Linked DNA regions of Saccharomyces cerevisiae S288C. Each later gene encodes a partner of the first gene's protein in a complex. Each region holds a gene or a part of one and is shown in the gene's direction. Other genes may lie near its edges.

What was found.
Region 2: RPC25 (region 1) and RPC11 share a complex: the UniProt entries of both Saccharomyces cerevisiae proteins name them as parts of the RNA polymerase III (Pol III) complex.
Region 3: RPC25 (region 1) and RPC53 share a complex: the UniProt entries of both Saccharomyces cerevisiae proteins name them as parts of the RNA polymerase III (Pol III) complex.
Region 4: RPC25 (region 1) and RPC34 share a complex: the UniProt entries of both Saccharomyces cerevisiae proteins name them as parts of the RNA polymerase III (Pol III) complex.

The regions. Positions count from the first base shown.
Region 1 is NC_001143.9:174,890-178,613, reverse strand, and holds RPC25 (DNA-directed RNA polymerase III subunit RPC25), read left to right. Parts: upstream 1-2,132; coding exon 2,133-2,771; downstream 2,772-3,724. Other genes in the region: MRP8 (Mrp8p), read right to left, coding at 1-99; ribosome biogenesis protein LTV1, read right to left, coding at 442-1,833; proteasome regulatory particle base subunit RPT1, read right to left, coding at 2,998-3,724. UniProt on the Saccharomyces cerevisiae protein: DNA-dependent RNA polymerase catalyzes the transcription of DNA into RNA using the four ribonucleoside triphosphates as substrates. Specific peripheric component of RNA polymerase III which synthesizes small RNAs, such as 5S rRNA and tRNA.
Region 2 is NC_001136.10:546,737-550,187, reverse strand, and holds RPC11 (DNA-directed RNA polymerase III core subunit RPC11), read left to right. Parts: upstream 1-1,877; coding exon 1,878-2,210; downstream 2,211-3,451. Other genes in the region: amino acid transporter BAP3, read left to right, coding at 1-1,426; HEM13 (coproporphyrinogen oxidase), read right to left, coding at 2,560-3,451. UniProt on the Saccharomyces cerevisiae protein: DNA-dependent RNA polymerase catalyzes the transcription of DNA into RNA using the four ribonucleoside triphosphates as substrates. Component of RNA polymerase III which synthesizes small RNAs, such as 5S rRNA and tRNAs.
Region 3 is NC_001136.10:181,712-185,852, forward strand, and holds RPC53 (DNA-directed RNA polymerase III subunit C53), read left to right. Parts: upstream 1-1,631; coding exon 1,632-2,900; downstream 2,901-4,141. Other genes in the region: rRNA-processing protein SAS10, read right to left, coding at 1-1,307; autophagy protein ATG9, read left to right, coding at 3,214-4,141. UniProt on the Saccharomyces cerevisiae protein: DNA-dependent RNA polymerase catalyzes the transcription of DNA into RNA using the four ribonucleoside triphosphates as substrates. Specific peripheric component of RNA polymerase III which synthesizes small RNAs, such as 5S rRNA and tRNAs.
Region 4 is NC_001146.8:633,689-637,854, reverse strand, and holds RPC34 (DNA-directed RNA polymerase III subunit C34), read left to right. Parts: upstream 1-2,557; coding exon 2,558-3,511; downstream 3,512-4,166. Other genes in the region: ESCRT-0 subunit protein VPS27, read right to left, coding at 1-869; SWM2 (Swm2p), read right to left, coding at 1,472-1,912; putative ammonium permease ATO2, read left to right, coding at 3,999-4,166. UniProt on the Saccharomyces cerevisiae protein: DNA-dependent RNA polymerase catalyzes the transcription of DNA into RNA using the four ribonucleoside triphosphates as substrates. Specific peripheric component of RNA polymerase III which synthesizes small RNAs, such as 5S rRNA and tRNAs.

The DNA.
Region 1 (3,724 bases):
CACACGCTCTCCTGTCTTAGAGATAATCAGACTTTGCTTCTTCACTAAGTCTTGTAATTCAGAGACTTGCTTCTGCAGTAATTCAATTTCGTTAGACATTTTCTTCCTGCTATTTATTTATGTGTATTTACTTCCTTTCTTAAAATGTACTTTATCTGCGGAATACGAGTAGTAAGACAAGATATCTCAAACGGTTACTAATTTGAACGGCTCTTTGAAGCAATGCACGCCGGTTTTCTTTATACTAAAACAATATTTGAATAATGAAAATCGACCTCCTTCCTCCACCCCCTTTCTCCGAAATCCACAAAGAGCACCGCCGCGTTTCATAATTATTACCCGGTGGGCAGGATGTATTTTAGCATCAATGCATTCTAGGCTAAGTATACATGTCTACACAGTACTTGTAATGTAGGTGCTTTCTCATCTCATTCTACTCCTCTAAAATTTTAAGCTGCTTAGTGTATTGGTGACCTTCTCAAGTTTCTTTTTCTCTTGCCTTTCACGATTTCTTCTCTGAGACAGTTTACCTTTGCTTACTTCATCAGCAGCTTCCTTCAGCCTTTCAATTTCTTTATCTTTCTTAGCCAGTTTACGGCCACCACTCTCCAGTTCGTAATTGTCCAAAAAGTCATCAAGCATTGACTCAAAATCAGATCTTTCTGCTGACATGTCAAATGGTTGGTAATTTTGTTCTTCGTCCTCTTCTAGTTCTTCCTCATAATTTTCGTAACCATTGATGATTTGATCGTACTGATCATCCAGTACTGTCATCGTCTCTGTACGCGCAATGGCACTTGAACTCATGGAAAATCCAGATACATCTGACATGGCACCCTTTTTTTGACGGCTCTTTCTTTTCTTCTTCCCCGTCTTGCTTTTGTCTTGGATAGAGGGCAATTCGCCCAGCACATCTTCCTCTTCAGAGGGATTTACACTGTCTAAACCTGCATTAGAAAATTCATCATCCGAGTTATGCTTTTCTAGTATAGAGTTATCTTTTTGAAATCTTCGAACATCAGCTTGATAATCGATATTTTCCAAGTCCTCCAGGTTTTCGATGTTATCAAATTGCGCCATTTCCTTAACGTAGTTTTCATCTTCAAAATTTTCTACATTATCAATATCCCACTCATCAAACTCATCCTCGAATTCGTCTTCATCTTTTGCTTCACCGCTCCCTAGTAATTGTGCGAAAATGTCATCTTCCTTTTCTTCTTCTCCATAGTTATCGCCTTGAAGTTGTGTCTTTTTGCTGATGTCTTCAACCACAACATCATCATTAACAACATATGCTTCATCTTCTAAAGCTTCAAGCACCTCTCTTAATGCAGGATTCATATCAGGTTTGAAACCTCTAATTTCATCGGTGGTATCTTGTTGGTGTAGTAAATATTCTGGCTTTGCCATCCCTCTTTGAAACACAGGTAGCGCGTCATCCTTCTCAATTTCATCACGTCTATACTTAGGTTCGATGAATAAATCTTCAATGTTTTTTTTTTCGACCTTCTGTTCATTGCCTTTGGATGCTATAAAGATGGAGTTTTCAGGGTCGAGACCTATTGGCTTCAAATGTTGAGTATAATCGTATTCAGAATCATCAAAATTAATACCATATAAAGCTGCTTCTCCCACATGAGCCCTCCTACCCTTTGGTTTTGTTGAACTCACGTCTTTTTTTCGAAGATCTGCTTCTGGAGAAGTTTTATTTGGATTGGAGACAGGAACCAAAACGTGCGCAGAGGCATCTGTATCATAAAATGAAGGATCATCATGGGGTCTGTGTACCACCACGTACCTTTGGGAGTTTTTAGAGCTAAATTTCTTCGACATCTTCGTGCTTTTTATATTCCCCTTAAAGTCTTTGAAATACTATACTGGTTGCTCGTAGGATTCGGTAAGAACCCTGATTTAGATGCTCATAATATTCAGGCGATGCTCATCGCTTAAAATTTTTATTTGACAAATTTTCAGTCGCGTTATACGGATTAGTTAATTTCGTATCATAATAACGAATATTCAAGCCATGTGCAGAAATAGACGCAAGAAGCGTTATTCGGAAGAAACTATCGGGTAGTATAAAGACATTCTGTAGTACTATTTAAATTAGAAAATTCATTGAACAAGGTAATATGTTTATCCTTTCAAAAATCGCTGACTTGGTACGAATCCCGCCCGATCAATTCCATCGCGATACAATATCGGCAATCACACATCAGTTAAATAATAAGTTCGCCAACAAGATTATTCCCAATGTCGGTCTATGTATTACGATTTACGACTTATTAACCGTCGAGGAAGGCCAATTGAAGCCAGGCGATGGATCATCCTATATTAACGTTACATTTCGAGCCGTTGTTTTCAAACCGTTTCTAGGTGAGATAGTAACTGGATGGATTTCTAAATGTACAGCAGAAGGCATAAAAGTTTCACTGTTAGGTATATTTGATGACATTTTTATCCCACAAAATATGTTATTCGAAGGGTGCTATTATACCCCTGAAGAAAGTGCATGGATTTGGCCCATGGATGAAGAGACGAAACTATATTTCGATGTAAATGAAAAAATTAGATTCAGAATCGAAAGAGAAGTTTTTGTTGATGTGAAGCCAAAATCACCCAAAGAACGAGAATTGGAGGAAAGAGCTCAATTAGAGAATGAGATTGAGGGTAAGAATGAAGAAACTCCTCAAAACGAAAAACCTCCAGCATATGCCCTATTAGGTAGTTGTCAAACTGATGGCATGGGACTCGTTAGTTGGTGGGAATGATAGATAAGGACGCCACTGACTTCAATAAAACATTTAATAATAATAGTAACAGTAATAATGAGGATAATAATATATAATAAACGTGAATTTTCTTTAGCATTATATACGCTAATTCTTTCTCTATTTGAGGGGATACTCTCGTATCCTTTTTATCTCGATAGTTGTAGTTGTACTTGTTGTTTTTATTAACCCTTCTCATAATATATAATAAAAAAGTACATTGACGTCAATTATATTGCATATAACGCGATGTGGAACTAAACTTCTTGTATCCGCTAATAACTTTATCAACAGCCTTCAGGAAATCCTTTTCAGTAGCCACCTTTCTTCTTGCTCTAATGGCAAACATACCGGCTTCTGTGCAAACAGATCTTAATTCTGCACCGGTAGAGTTTGGACACAGTCTGGAGATAAGTTCCCATCTGATGCCACGTTCCACACTCATTGATTTAGAGTGAATACGGAAGATATTTGCACGACCTTCCAAGTCAGGTAATGAAAACTCTACCTTACGATCAATTCTACCGGGTCTCAATAAAGCTGGATCTAAAGTGTTGGGCCTATTGGTGGCAAACATCACTTTAATGTTACCACGAGGGTCAAACCCGTCTAACTGTGTAATCAGTTCTAACATAGTTCTTTGAACTTCATTATCACCACCAGCACCATCATCAAAACGAGCACCACCAACAGCGTCGATTTCATCGAAGAATATAATGCAAGCCTTTTTGGTACGAGCCATTTCAAATAATTCTCTAACCATACGAGCACCTTCACCGACATATTTTTGCACTAGCTCAGACCCAATGACCCTAATAAAAGTTGCATCAGTTCTATTAGCAACAGCACGAGCACATAATGTCTTACCAGTACCAGGTGGCCCATATAATAAGATACCCTTTGGTGGATCAATACCAAGAGTAGCAAATCTTTCTGGAGATAATAAGGGCAGC
Region 2 (3,451 bases), on another chromosome or scaffold:
GGTGTCCTTCGTCACGTATTTTATGGTCCAAGCGGCTGGTGAGATGGGTGTCACTTATCCGACGCTTCCAGGTAACTTCAATGCATACAATTCAATCTTTATTTCAAAGTCGTTTGGGTTCGCGACCACTTGGTTATTTTGCATTCAGTGGTTAACTGTGCTACCGTTGGAATTGATTACTTCTTCCATGACCGTCAAGTACTGGAATGACACAATTAATGCTGATGTATTCATTGTCATTTTCTATGTGTTTTTATTGTTTATCCACTTTTTTGGTGTTAAGGCATACGGTGAAACGGAATTTATCTTCAATTCCTGTAAGATATTGATGGTTGCAGGATTCATTATTTTATCAGTCGTCATCAATTGTGGGGGAGCCGGTGTGGACGGCTATATTGGCGGCAAATATTGGCGCGACCCTGGTTCATTTGCAGAAGGCAGCGGTGCCACTCGTTTCAAAGGGATATGTTATATTCTAGTATCTGCATATTTCTCCTTCGGTGGTATTGAATTATTTGTTCTTTCCATCAATGAGCAGTCTAACCCTAGAAAATCCACTCCTGTAGCCGCGAAGAGAAGTGTATATCGTATTTTGATCATTTATTTGCTGACAATGATTCTAATTGGGTTCAATGTTCCTCACAATAACGATCAATTGATGGGTTCCGGTGGCTCCGCAACGCACGCTTCACCATATGTCTTGGCAGCCTCTATTCACAAGGTTAGGGTCATCCCCCATATCATTAATGCTGTTATTTTGATATCAGTCATCTCTGTTGCGAACTCTGCCCTTTATGCCGCACCGAGATTAATGTGTTCCTTGGCTCAACAGGGCTATGCTCCAAAATTTTTGAACTATATTGATAGGGAGGGAAGACCTTTAAGGGCCTTGGTAGTGTGCTCTCTTGTTGGTGTCGTTGGCTTCGTCGCCTGTTCTCCACAGGAAGAGCAAGCATTTACATGGTTGGCAGCCATTGCAGGTTTGAGTGAACTTTTCACATGGTCAGGCATTATGCTTTCACACATTCGATTCAGAAAAGCGATGAAAGTCCAAGGAAGATCACTTGATGAAGTCGGCTATAAGGCCAATACCGGTATATGGGGTTCATACTATGGGGTTTTTTTCAATATGCTTGTCTTTATGGCCCAATTTTGGGTCGCACTGTCTCCAATAGGAAATGGCGGAAAGTGTGATGCTCAGGCATTCTTCGAGAGTTATCTGGCTGCCCCGCTATGGATATTCATGTATGTTGGATACATGGTTTACAAAAGAGATTTTACCTTTTTAAACCCACTGGACAAGATCGACTTGGACTTTCATAGAAGAGTTTACGACCCTGAAATAATGAGGCAGGAGGACGAAGAAAATAAAGAAAGGTTAAAGAACTCTTCAATATTCGTCAGAGTCTACAAATTTTGGTGTTAGTGCATAATAAATAGCATTTTAAATATTTGTATATTATATTCATAAACGAAGTAACACAAGCATGAAACTGTTGTTCGGACCGAACCACCTTACTCAACGTTGTCTAAATGATTTTGTGTTGCTCATGTCATAGCATTCAACTACAGATGAAGGTTTTTAGCGCCACTCCCATTAACATTTTCAAATCCGAGTATTGAAAAAAAAAAAAAAAAAAACTAGAGCAAGTGAACGAACGGGAAAATAAAAAAATGGCAGATGAAATTTTTGGACATCTATTATTACATGGCAAGATGATCGATATAAAATTCAAATCCAGTTCAAAAGAACAGTAGGAAAAGTTTTATCCAAAAGCATAACCGAGAATCTTCTTTCTGGAAAACGCATACGTTATATGGCTATATAAGCAAAAGAGTTCGCATTCATTGGTAAAACGTAAAATACATAATTTAGGATGCTTTCGTTTTGTCCTTCGTGTAACAATATGCTACTGATAACGAGTGGCGATAGTGGTGTATATACATTAGCATGCCGTTCATGTCCATATGAGTTTCCTATAGAGGGTATAGAAATCTATGATAGGAAGAAACTTCCAAGAAAGGAAGTTGATGATGTTCTTGGTGGTGGTTGGGACAATGTGGATCAAACCAAAACCCAATGTCCCAATTATGATACTTGTGGTGGTGAGAGTGCTTACTTTTTCCAACTACAAATTAGGTCAGCTGATGAGCCGATGACTACCTTTTATAAGTGTGTAAACTGTGGTCATAGATGGAAGGAAAATTAAGAAGTCCTTGAATATAAGATGAATTTTCTAAGAATAAAAAGAGTAATAAAAACATCTTAAAATTTGATTAGAAGGCATGATCGCATATTGAGAATGAAGGCTGCTGCCATATTTTTAGAGCAATAGATACTGATATAATTTTTGATCCTGCACGTACTGTGAACTTGCATCATAAATAGGACGCAATAATTAATATTTTTAAGAATAGAGATCCTGTATCAATTGAATTTGAAGAATTATGTAAAGGAGGTATAATAAATAGATAAAAAAATGTATAAATAAGTGGTCGAAATAATTAAATCATCATTGTCATTGAGATCATAAAATCGGTCTGCTAAAGAACCTTGAATTATTTAACCCACTCTCTTGGTTTGGTGGTAACTTCTAGTAATTTAGCTTCTCTGGAACCAGGAGCAGGGTGGTGGTTGTATAACCATGAAGCATGTTCAGGCAAACTCATCAAAATTGACTCAACTCTAGAGCCTGGGGTTCTCAAACCGAATTGGGTACCTCTATCGTAGATTAAGTTGAATTCAACGTATCTACCACGTCTAATGGCCTGCCATTGTTGTTCTTCCTTTGTATATGGCATATCTTTTCTTCTCTTGACGATAGTCAAGTAGGATGGCAAGAAAGCATCGAAACAGTCTTCAACCATCTTCAATATTTCTTGTGGGTCACGTTCATCATAATCGTCAAAGAATATACCACCAATACCACGTGTTTCCTTACGGTGGGTAATGTAGAAGTACTCATCACACCATTTCTTGAAACGTGGGTACAAAGCAGTGTCGTGCTTGTCCAAGGCATCCTTGTGCAGTTGGTGGAATAATTGACCGTCTTCTTCGTATAAGTAAGAAGGTGTCAAATCAGCACCACCACCAAACCACCAAGTTTGTGGGGTCCCATCTTGGTTCCAAGTTTCGAAGTAACGGTAGTTTAAGTGCGTGGTTGGAGCGTGTGGGTTAACGGGATGAATGACCATACTTAAACCACAAGCGAAGAACTTGACACCGTCGGTAACTGGCAAACCAGTCTTTGGATCTTCTGGTAGACGCAGATTCTTATGATCAGCTTTCATGGCTGAAACGGCCGCTGGGCTCAATTGACCATAAACAACGGAGACATTAACACCACCTTTTTCGAAAGTTGTACCGTCTTGGATAACCATAGAGGTACCACCACCACCATCGTTACCACGGGTCCAAGTATCAGCGTGGAACTTAACAGTATCGATGGAT
Region 3 (4,141 bases), on another chromosome or scaffold:
CCTTTGAATCTATCCGTCTTTTTATTTTCTTGTTGATCAATTTTCGAAGTATAGAAACGCAAAGTTCTTCTACGAGCTTTTTTGTCTTGTGCGTCCACATCAGCAATCTCAGATTCAATGAAATCATCAGCTTCAGGCATTGATGATGTTTTCGGTTTAGAATGCAGACGTGATTGTGCTACGTACTCTTCAAAATCGTCAATATCAACATCTTCTTCTTCTTCTTCTTCATCGCTTTCTCTTTCTTCTTCATCAATTTCTTGCTTTTGTTTTCCTCCATCCTCTGCATCAGAATCTTCACTGTTTTGCAACTCATTCAGCTTCTTTTCGTTAAAGGCCTCAATGTTTGCGGTTTCTTCACTTTCAGAACCATCTCCTTCATTCACATCAAAACTAGATGGCAATTCGCTGGCTTGCCTCCAAATCTCTTTTGTCGTTAAAATCTTTTCCATGACCGGATGTCCCTTCATAGATGTGAAATCTTCATTATTATGGAGTTCGTGCAACAAGATACTATAGTAACATGATATTGTGCCTAGGTAACTTCCAAGTGCAATTAGCTTTAATTTATTGAACTCATTTTCCTCAGATTTCTTTAATTCGTCAAACTTTGGAGCTAATTCTGTGAATTCTTTTGAAAGTGGAGCAAATTCAGGAAACATTGTCCTTAAATAGTTATCCCTTGCTTCGTCATCCATATTTAGAATATCCGTTATGGAAGTTTTAGTATCAGCCTGCTTGGTCGAGTTCTTAAATTCACCCATGTCAAATTCTTTGGCACTTTTGACCCACTCTTCTTCTTCTTCTTCATCTAAGTAATCGTTCATATTAAGTTCTTCCAGATGCTTCTTTTGTTGTCGTAAAGCTTCCTTTTCTATTTCCTTAGCAGCTTCGTCATCATCTAAATCATCAGCCCCATAATATTCTCCTTTTGTGGACCCCCAGGCATTCTCGTTGTCTAACATACCATTCTCTTCATCTTCCTCAGGAAGCTGGTCAGTTTCTAAGTTTCTACCAAATATTTTCTTATAGGCTGCAGCACCATCTAGTTCCTCTTCCTCTTCTTCTTCCTCATCTTCTCTTTCATCTATTGACTCATCATCTTCATCCATGGCTAAGACTTCTTCCTCATCTTCGTCTTCTAACAGAGAATGGTCATCATCTTTATTACTGTCGCCAAAGGTGGATTGTCCAAGTAAAACCTTTTCCCTTTTAGAAGCAAAATCATCAACTTCGTTTAAACCATACGGATTAATCTCATCCCCAACTTCAGAGGTCTTAGTTCTGTTTGAGCCTTTGCGTACCATATTATTCTATACACCCACTCTAATATGTTTTCTCTTCCTCCAAAACTTTTTGTATAAAAGCATCAGTGAGATGAGCTATGATGAGATGAGCTTCATTATTGAATTTTTTTTCATTGCAGAAGCGCAGTTTGAAAATTTTTCATCCGCCCTGCAAAGTCCAATTTTTTGATCAGCAGAAGATAATGACCAGAGAATTATGGTATTCAAGAGAACAATTCAAAAGAGGACAGCTAGAAAGATATTGAGGTATTTATAATTTGCTAGACTAACCGAAAGTCGAAGCGTAATCTTGTTTTTTATTAAGCGGGATAGCATTCATTAAGTATGAGCAGTAATAAAGGAAATGGGCGCTTGCCATCATTAAAAGATTCCTCCTCCAATGGAGGAGGATCTGCCAAGCCCTCATTAAAGTTTAAACCAAAAGCAGTTGCAAGAAAGTCCAAGGAAGAAAGAGAAGCAGCTGCGTCCAAAGTAAAGCTAGAGGAGGAATCTAAGAGAGGTAATGACAAGAAACATTTCAATAACAAGAATAAAAGAGTAACCGGCGCTGGCGGCCAGCAAAGGCGAATGGCCAAATACTTAAATAACACACACGTTATCTCTAGCGGTCCATTGGCGGCTGGGAACTTTGTAAGTGAGAAGGGTGATTTGAGAAGAGGATTCATCAAATCAGAAGGAAGCGGGTCATCTCTTGTGCAAAAGGGCCTGGAAACTATTGACAATGGTGCTGAGAGCTCTGAGAATGAGGCAGAAGACGATGATAATGAAGGTGTAGCGTCCAAATCTAAGAAGAAGTTCAATATGGGAAAAGAATTCGAGGCACGCAATCTCATAGAGGACGAAGATGACGGCGAAAGTGAAAAGAGCAGTGACGTCGACATGGATGACGAAGAATGGAGATCTAAACGGATTGAACAGTTATTCCCTGTGAGACCTGTCCGCGTAAGACACGAAGACGTTGAAACTGTCAAAAGAGAAATACAAGAAGCTCTTTCAGAAAAGCCAACTCGTGAACCAACCCCCAGTGTGAAGACAGAGCCTGTCGGAACCGGATTACAATCTTATTTGGAAGAAAGAGAAAGGCAAGTCAATGAGAAACTGGCAGATCTTGGACTTGAAAAGGAGTTTCAATCGGTTGATGGGAAAGAAGCGGCCGCTGAGTTGGAATTATTAAATGCAGATCATCAGCATATATTACGAAAACTAAAGAAAATGAATAATAAACCAGAAAGATTCATGGTATTCCAGTTACCTACTAGGTTACCAGCTTTTGAAAGACCCGCTGTGAAAGAAGAAAAAGAAGACATGGAAACCCAGGCTAGCGACCCTTCAAAGAAGAAGAAGAATATTAAAAAGAAGGACACGAAGGATGCTTTGTCTACTAGAGAACTTGCCGGCAAGGTTGGGTCTATACGGGTTCACAAATCTGGAAAACTTTCCGTGAAAATTGGAAATGTGGTGATGGATATTGGCAAAGGTGCCGAAACCACATTTTTACAAGATGTTATAGCATTAAGTATCGCTGATGATGCATCCTCAGCGGAACTTCTAGGCCGTGTGGACGGTAAAATAGTAGTCACACCTCAAATCTAATCGCACTCGCATCTGTCGAGTATATAAATGAATATACACAGTCATAAATACTTCTAGAACAAATTACACTAATTAAGATGCTTAGATTCCCATTCAAAAGGTACTATTGACGTCTTGTCTTCTACAATTTCTCATCCTCTTTGAACATTGGTAATGTTATTCTAGTTATTGTTACCCAGTTTCGGAACTTTAGGGGAGCCACACTTTAAACAAAAAGAAGCGCCATAACCACCGTGAAGTAATGAGTATCTCACTTTGATAAGAAGACATTTAAGAACAGCCTGAAATATCAAAATCACGGAATTATTAGGTTATGGAGAGAGATGAATACCAGTTACCCAACTCTCATGGGAAGAATACTTTCTTATCGCGAATATTTGGTTTACAATCGGATGAAGTTAATCCTTCTCTTAATAGCCAGGAGATGAGCAACTTCCCTTTACCAGACATAGAGAGAGGCTCATCTTTATTGCATTCTACTAACGACAGCCGCGAAGATGTAGATGAGAATGACTTACGTGTTCCTGAGTCTGACCAAGGCACTAGTACAGAAGAAGAGGATGAAGTAGATGAAGAGCAAGTCCAGGCGTATGCTCCACAGATTAGTGATGGATTGGATGGAGACCACCAGCTAAATTCTGTAACGAGCAAAGAAAATGTACTTGAAACGGAAAAAAGCAATTTAGAAAGACTGGTTGAAGGCTCTACCGATGATTCTGTGCCCAAAGTCGGACAGCTTTCGTCAGAAGAAGAAGAGGATAATGAGTTCATAAATAATGATGGATTTGATGACGATACGCCCCTTTTTCAAAAAAGCAAGATTCATGAATTTAGCTCTAAGAAAAGCAATACTATAGAGGACGGTAAACGACCTTTGTTTTTCAGGCATATCTTACAGAATAACCGCCCTCAACGTGATACCCAAAAGCTATTTACTTCGTCGAACGCCATTCACCATGATAAGGACAAGAGTGCAAATAATGGTCCCCGTAACATTAATGGTAATCAAAAGCATGGCACTAAATACTTTGGTAGTGCTACACAACCTCGGTTTACCGGTTCGCCCTTAAATAATACAAACAGGTTCACTAAATTGTTTCCATTAAGAAAGCCAAATTTACTGAGCAATATATCCGTTTTAAACAATACCCCGGAAGATAGAATCAATACGTTGAGCGTGAAAGAGCGGGCTCTGTGGAAATGGGCAAACGTAGAAAACCTCGATATATTTCTTCAAGATG
Region 4 (4,166 bases), on another chromosome or scaffold:
TTTGATTCTACAACGGGGACAATAGGCTCGCTACTAGCGCTATTTCTAGATTCTTTCAAGGAGAGTTCTATTGCTTTCCTTATCAGCTCTTCTTCATCCTCAGGAGTTGAGTAGTCCCTGTCCTTCTTTCTTTTATGGCGATGTTTTTTAGATTTTTTACTGTCGTCATGTCTCTTCAAATCGTAATCTTCAAAGCAGCTATCACATACTCTGACTGGCTCATATATACCCAAATCAGGTAAGGGTATACTATTTGATGAGTGTTCTTGGCAGAAAACTCCACCACAGGAACGACAGTGATGTTTCCTATTTAGTAGAGAAAACTTTTTGGAGCAAATCATACAAGCATCAGAATCAATCCAATCTGCGGGCGTCTTCGAGTCAAACATTGCAGTCGGAGAATTGGAAAGTGTTAGCTTTTCAGGGAATTTAATGCCACGAGAGATTAATTTATCATAAACTTTTGCCACATAGTTAAGTTGCGAATCATTTTTGAAGGCTACGTATAGTTCATATAATATGGTCTTTACCAGCTCAGAAAGTTCTTCGTTGCTATCTTCTCTTAAAATGACATGTTCCATGGTATCCATGAACTCTCTGGAACAAATTTCCTTAATAAAAGGCGTTCCACCATTTTTTACACATATATTGGTAAGCTTCCAGGAAGACAATTGGGTATTTGGATTATCGGCCGTATTGAGAATCCTTTTCTTTATACAACGCATAGAATCTTTGGGATTTACCCTTCTAGATCTTAACACATCTGAAATTTCCAACGCTATGGGGAGATCAAGGTCACCGTTGGGAATGCTCTCACTAGTGGCTTGTTCTATTAATGCGTCTAACTCACTTGGCGTGCTAACGGACATACTGTTCTTAGTTCTTTACTCACTACTCATTCACCTTAGCAAAAAAAAATCTTGATAATTTTACACCCTCTATTTTTAAATTCCCTCTGCTAATGATGATTATTTCAGGTATCATCGAAATTTTCAGAAAAGGAGGCCGAGCAAGATGATTCTGCTGCTCCGCAAGAAATAGCAGTAGCGTATGTATTACCAAAATCCAAAATCTTGTGAAGGTTACTTTATATAAGTGAGGCTCAAAGGACACCAGGCGTCTATAAATGTATACAAAGTAGCTGTTTTGACATATTACCAAAAAATCGGGAAAATACCTAGGTTGGTTAATGATGAACTCGAAAGAGCCTTAAGAAAAGTTGATTCAACAACATATGGTGTATGGTCGCTCCGAACAGTTTGCTTTTGTCTAGTACATAGTTACTGGTGAACTTTCCTGGATATGCGCGTGCTAACTAGAGCATTTTATGTTGATAATTAATTTAAATTGCATGATACAGATTACGAGACGAAAGATAGTCGATTATATATCTTTCAATCTTGGTTTAGTTTGGCAGCAAAAGCTAAAAGGTAGGCTCCGTGCATATTAGATGAGTGAACACACTTTAGGTTTATTCTTGTATGAAATCATTCACTTCGACCTCTTCCAAGATCAAATTCTCTAATGGATTACTTATGAGTTTACCAAATTCGTCAAATTCCAACCTGACTACATTCAAATTCTTAACATATGAGACATCAATCTCATCCTTAATGATATTATCAGCAGGCGGAGGATCCTTCAACTTTTTATATTCCTTGCCCTTCAAAACATACCACAGGTTAAGGCATCTTCTTATAATTTCCGGATTGACTGTCTTCGCACCTTCTTCGTTCCATTTATGGAAATTAGAACGACAAATTTTTAGAGCTCTAGACTTTAAATGTGCATTTCTTGCTATATTCTGAAAATATGGCTCCAATACTGCGGAGTATTCCTTCGGAATTCGATTCAAGTCCGTTAATCCGTCTAGTAAACCTTCTAAGTTAGAGTAATTGTATAAATCTATCATCCGAGGAGATCCTCTTCTCTTTGCTTATGCATTTAGTCTCCTTTGATTTCTCAAGTTTATAATTTTTTTCTTTTTTTCTCACTTTTTAATACCTTTTAATAGCCGCTATTTTTTTAATTTTAGTTAAGTTTTCTTCTAATTTTGAATATAAAAAGTCATCTTATAACTAGTACATTTTATATGAAGGAGTTTCTATAGGTTTTAAAGGTGTGCAAAAAAAAAAAACAGCGTTAAAAGGCTACGAGTAAAACCAGATTCTTGGAAGACTTTGCTTACATGTGAGCAATTGAGAAGAAAAGGCAGGGGGCATTAAACGTTACGGCTACGGTTCGTCCGCACTACTCACTACATCGCCTACCGTAGCATACCTACGCTCACCCATTGCCATACCCACAGTAAATATGTAAATCGTTTATTAAAATGTTTAAGCCCTTGTTTGGTAGTATATTTAGAATCCAACTAGATGATATTGCAATTATTTAATCTTTTTGTTTTTAAGTAACATCGCGCACAGGCACTTTTTTTTTCCTTCAAATCTTTTATTGTATTAAAAATTTTCAAGTTGATTTGCGATGTATTTGTGAGATGAGATCATTACAGAAAATCTTAATCAAGTGAAGAATTTACAGCGCCAATATCCTGAATATGAGTGGAATGATAGAAAATGGGTTACAGCTATCGGACAATGCTAAAACCTTACATAGCCAGATGATGTCGAAAGGAATAGGCGCATTATTTACACAGCAAGAACTCCAAAAACAAATGGGAATCGGGTCGTTAACAGACTTGATGTCCATTGTACAGGAATTGCTAGACAAGAACTTGATCAAATTAGTAAAACAAAACGACGAATTAAAATTTCAAGGTGTCTTAGAATCTGAGGCGCAAAAGAAAGCCACCATGTCGGCTGAAGAGGCACTGGTATATTCTTATATCGAGGCTAGCGGTAGAGAAGGGATATGGTCCAAGACTATCAAGGCAAGAACCAATCTCCATCAGCATGTAGTTCTTAAATGCTTGAAGAGTTTAGAATCCCAAAGATACGTGAAGAGTGTTAAGAGTGTAAAGTTTCCCACAAGGAAAATCTACATGTTGTACAGCTTACAACCCTCTGTGGACATCACAGGAGGTCCATGGTTCACAGATGGAGAGCTGGATATAGAATTTATCAATAGTTTATTGACTATTGTTTGGAGGTTCATATCAGAGAACACCTTCCCTAATGGCTTCAAGAATTTCGAAAATGGACCCAAAAAAAACGTCTTTTATGCTCCAAACGTAAAAAATTACTCTACCACACAAGAAATTTTGGAATTTATTACAGCGGCACAAGTGGCCAATGTCGAGTTAACCCCTTCAAATATCAGATCTTTGTGTGAAGTCTTAGTGTACGACGACAAGCTGGAAAAAGTCACGCATGACTGCTATAGAGTGACCTTAGAGAGCATTCTACAAATGAACCAAGGTGAGGGCGAGCCGGAGGCAGGTAATAAGGCTTTGGAGGATGAAGAAGAATTTTCCATCTTTAACTACTTCAAGATGTTTCCGGCTTCAAAACACGACAAGGAAGTGGTCTATTTCGATGAATGGACAATTTGAAGTTCTTGACTACCCCTATCTCACACTAGTACGTAATTCAATGTATCATTCGTATTGTAAGTAGATAGAGACGCAATACAGGAAAGCTGACCTTCCTTCCAATCACCACGGCTGAAATGCTTTGTTGACCAATTACGGACGCTTAAGAGCGGACGCGGCTGGAACGGCTCCATCCTAAATCGGCGGAGGGAGAACTCCGATACCAGCCGACATGGCAATAATAGTGACAGTAGATGCTACCAGCCCCGCAATAATTTCACAGTAGATCATCAACAGTCTCCTCATTTCTGGAAATGATCAGCAACTTCGACGGATTTAACTCTCAAGCAGTTACGCACTCCGAGAACAGCCGTGATCATCTTTGAACAAGCAAAATATATAAAGCAGGAGAACTGTCCTACCTAGAGCTAGAATAGCCATAACTAACTATGTAACATTCTACAGATCAATCAAAAACAATCTTCAATCACAGAAAAAAATAAAAGGCATGTCTGACAGAGAACAAAGCAGCGGCAACACCGCTTTTGAGAACCCTAAGGCACTCGATTCTTCCGAGGGTGAGTTCATCTCTGAAAACAACGATCAGAGCCGCCACTCGCAAGAGTCCATATGCAAAATATATACTGCGGGCAAAAACAACGAGTATATTTACATC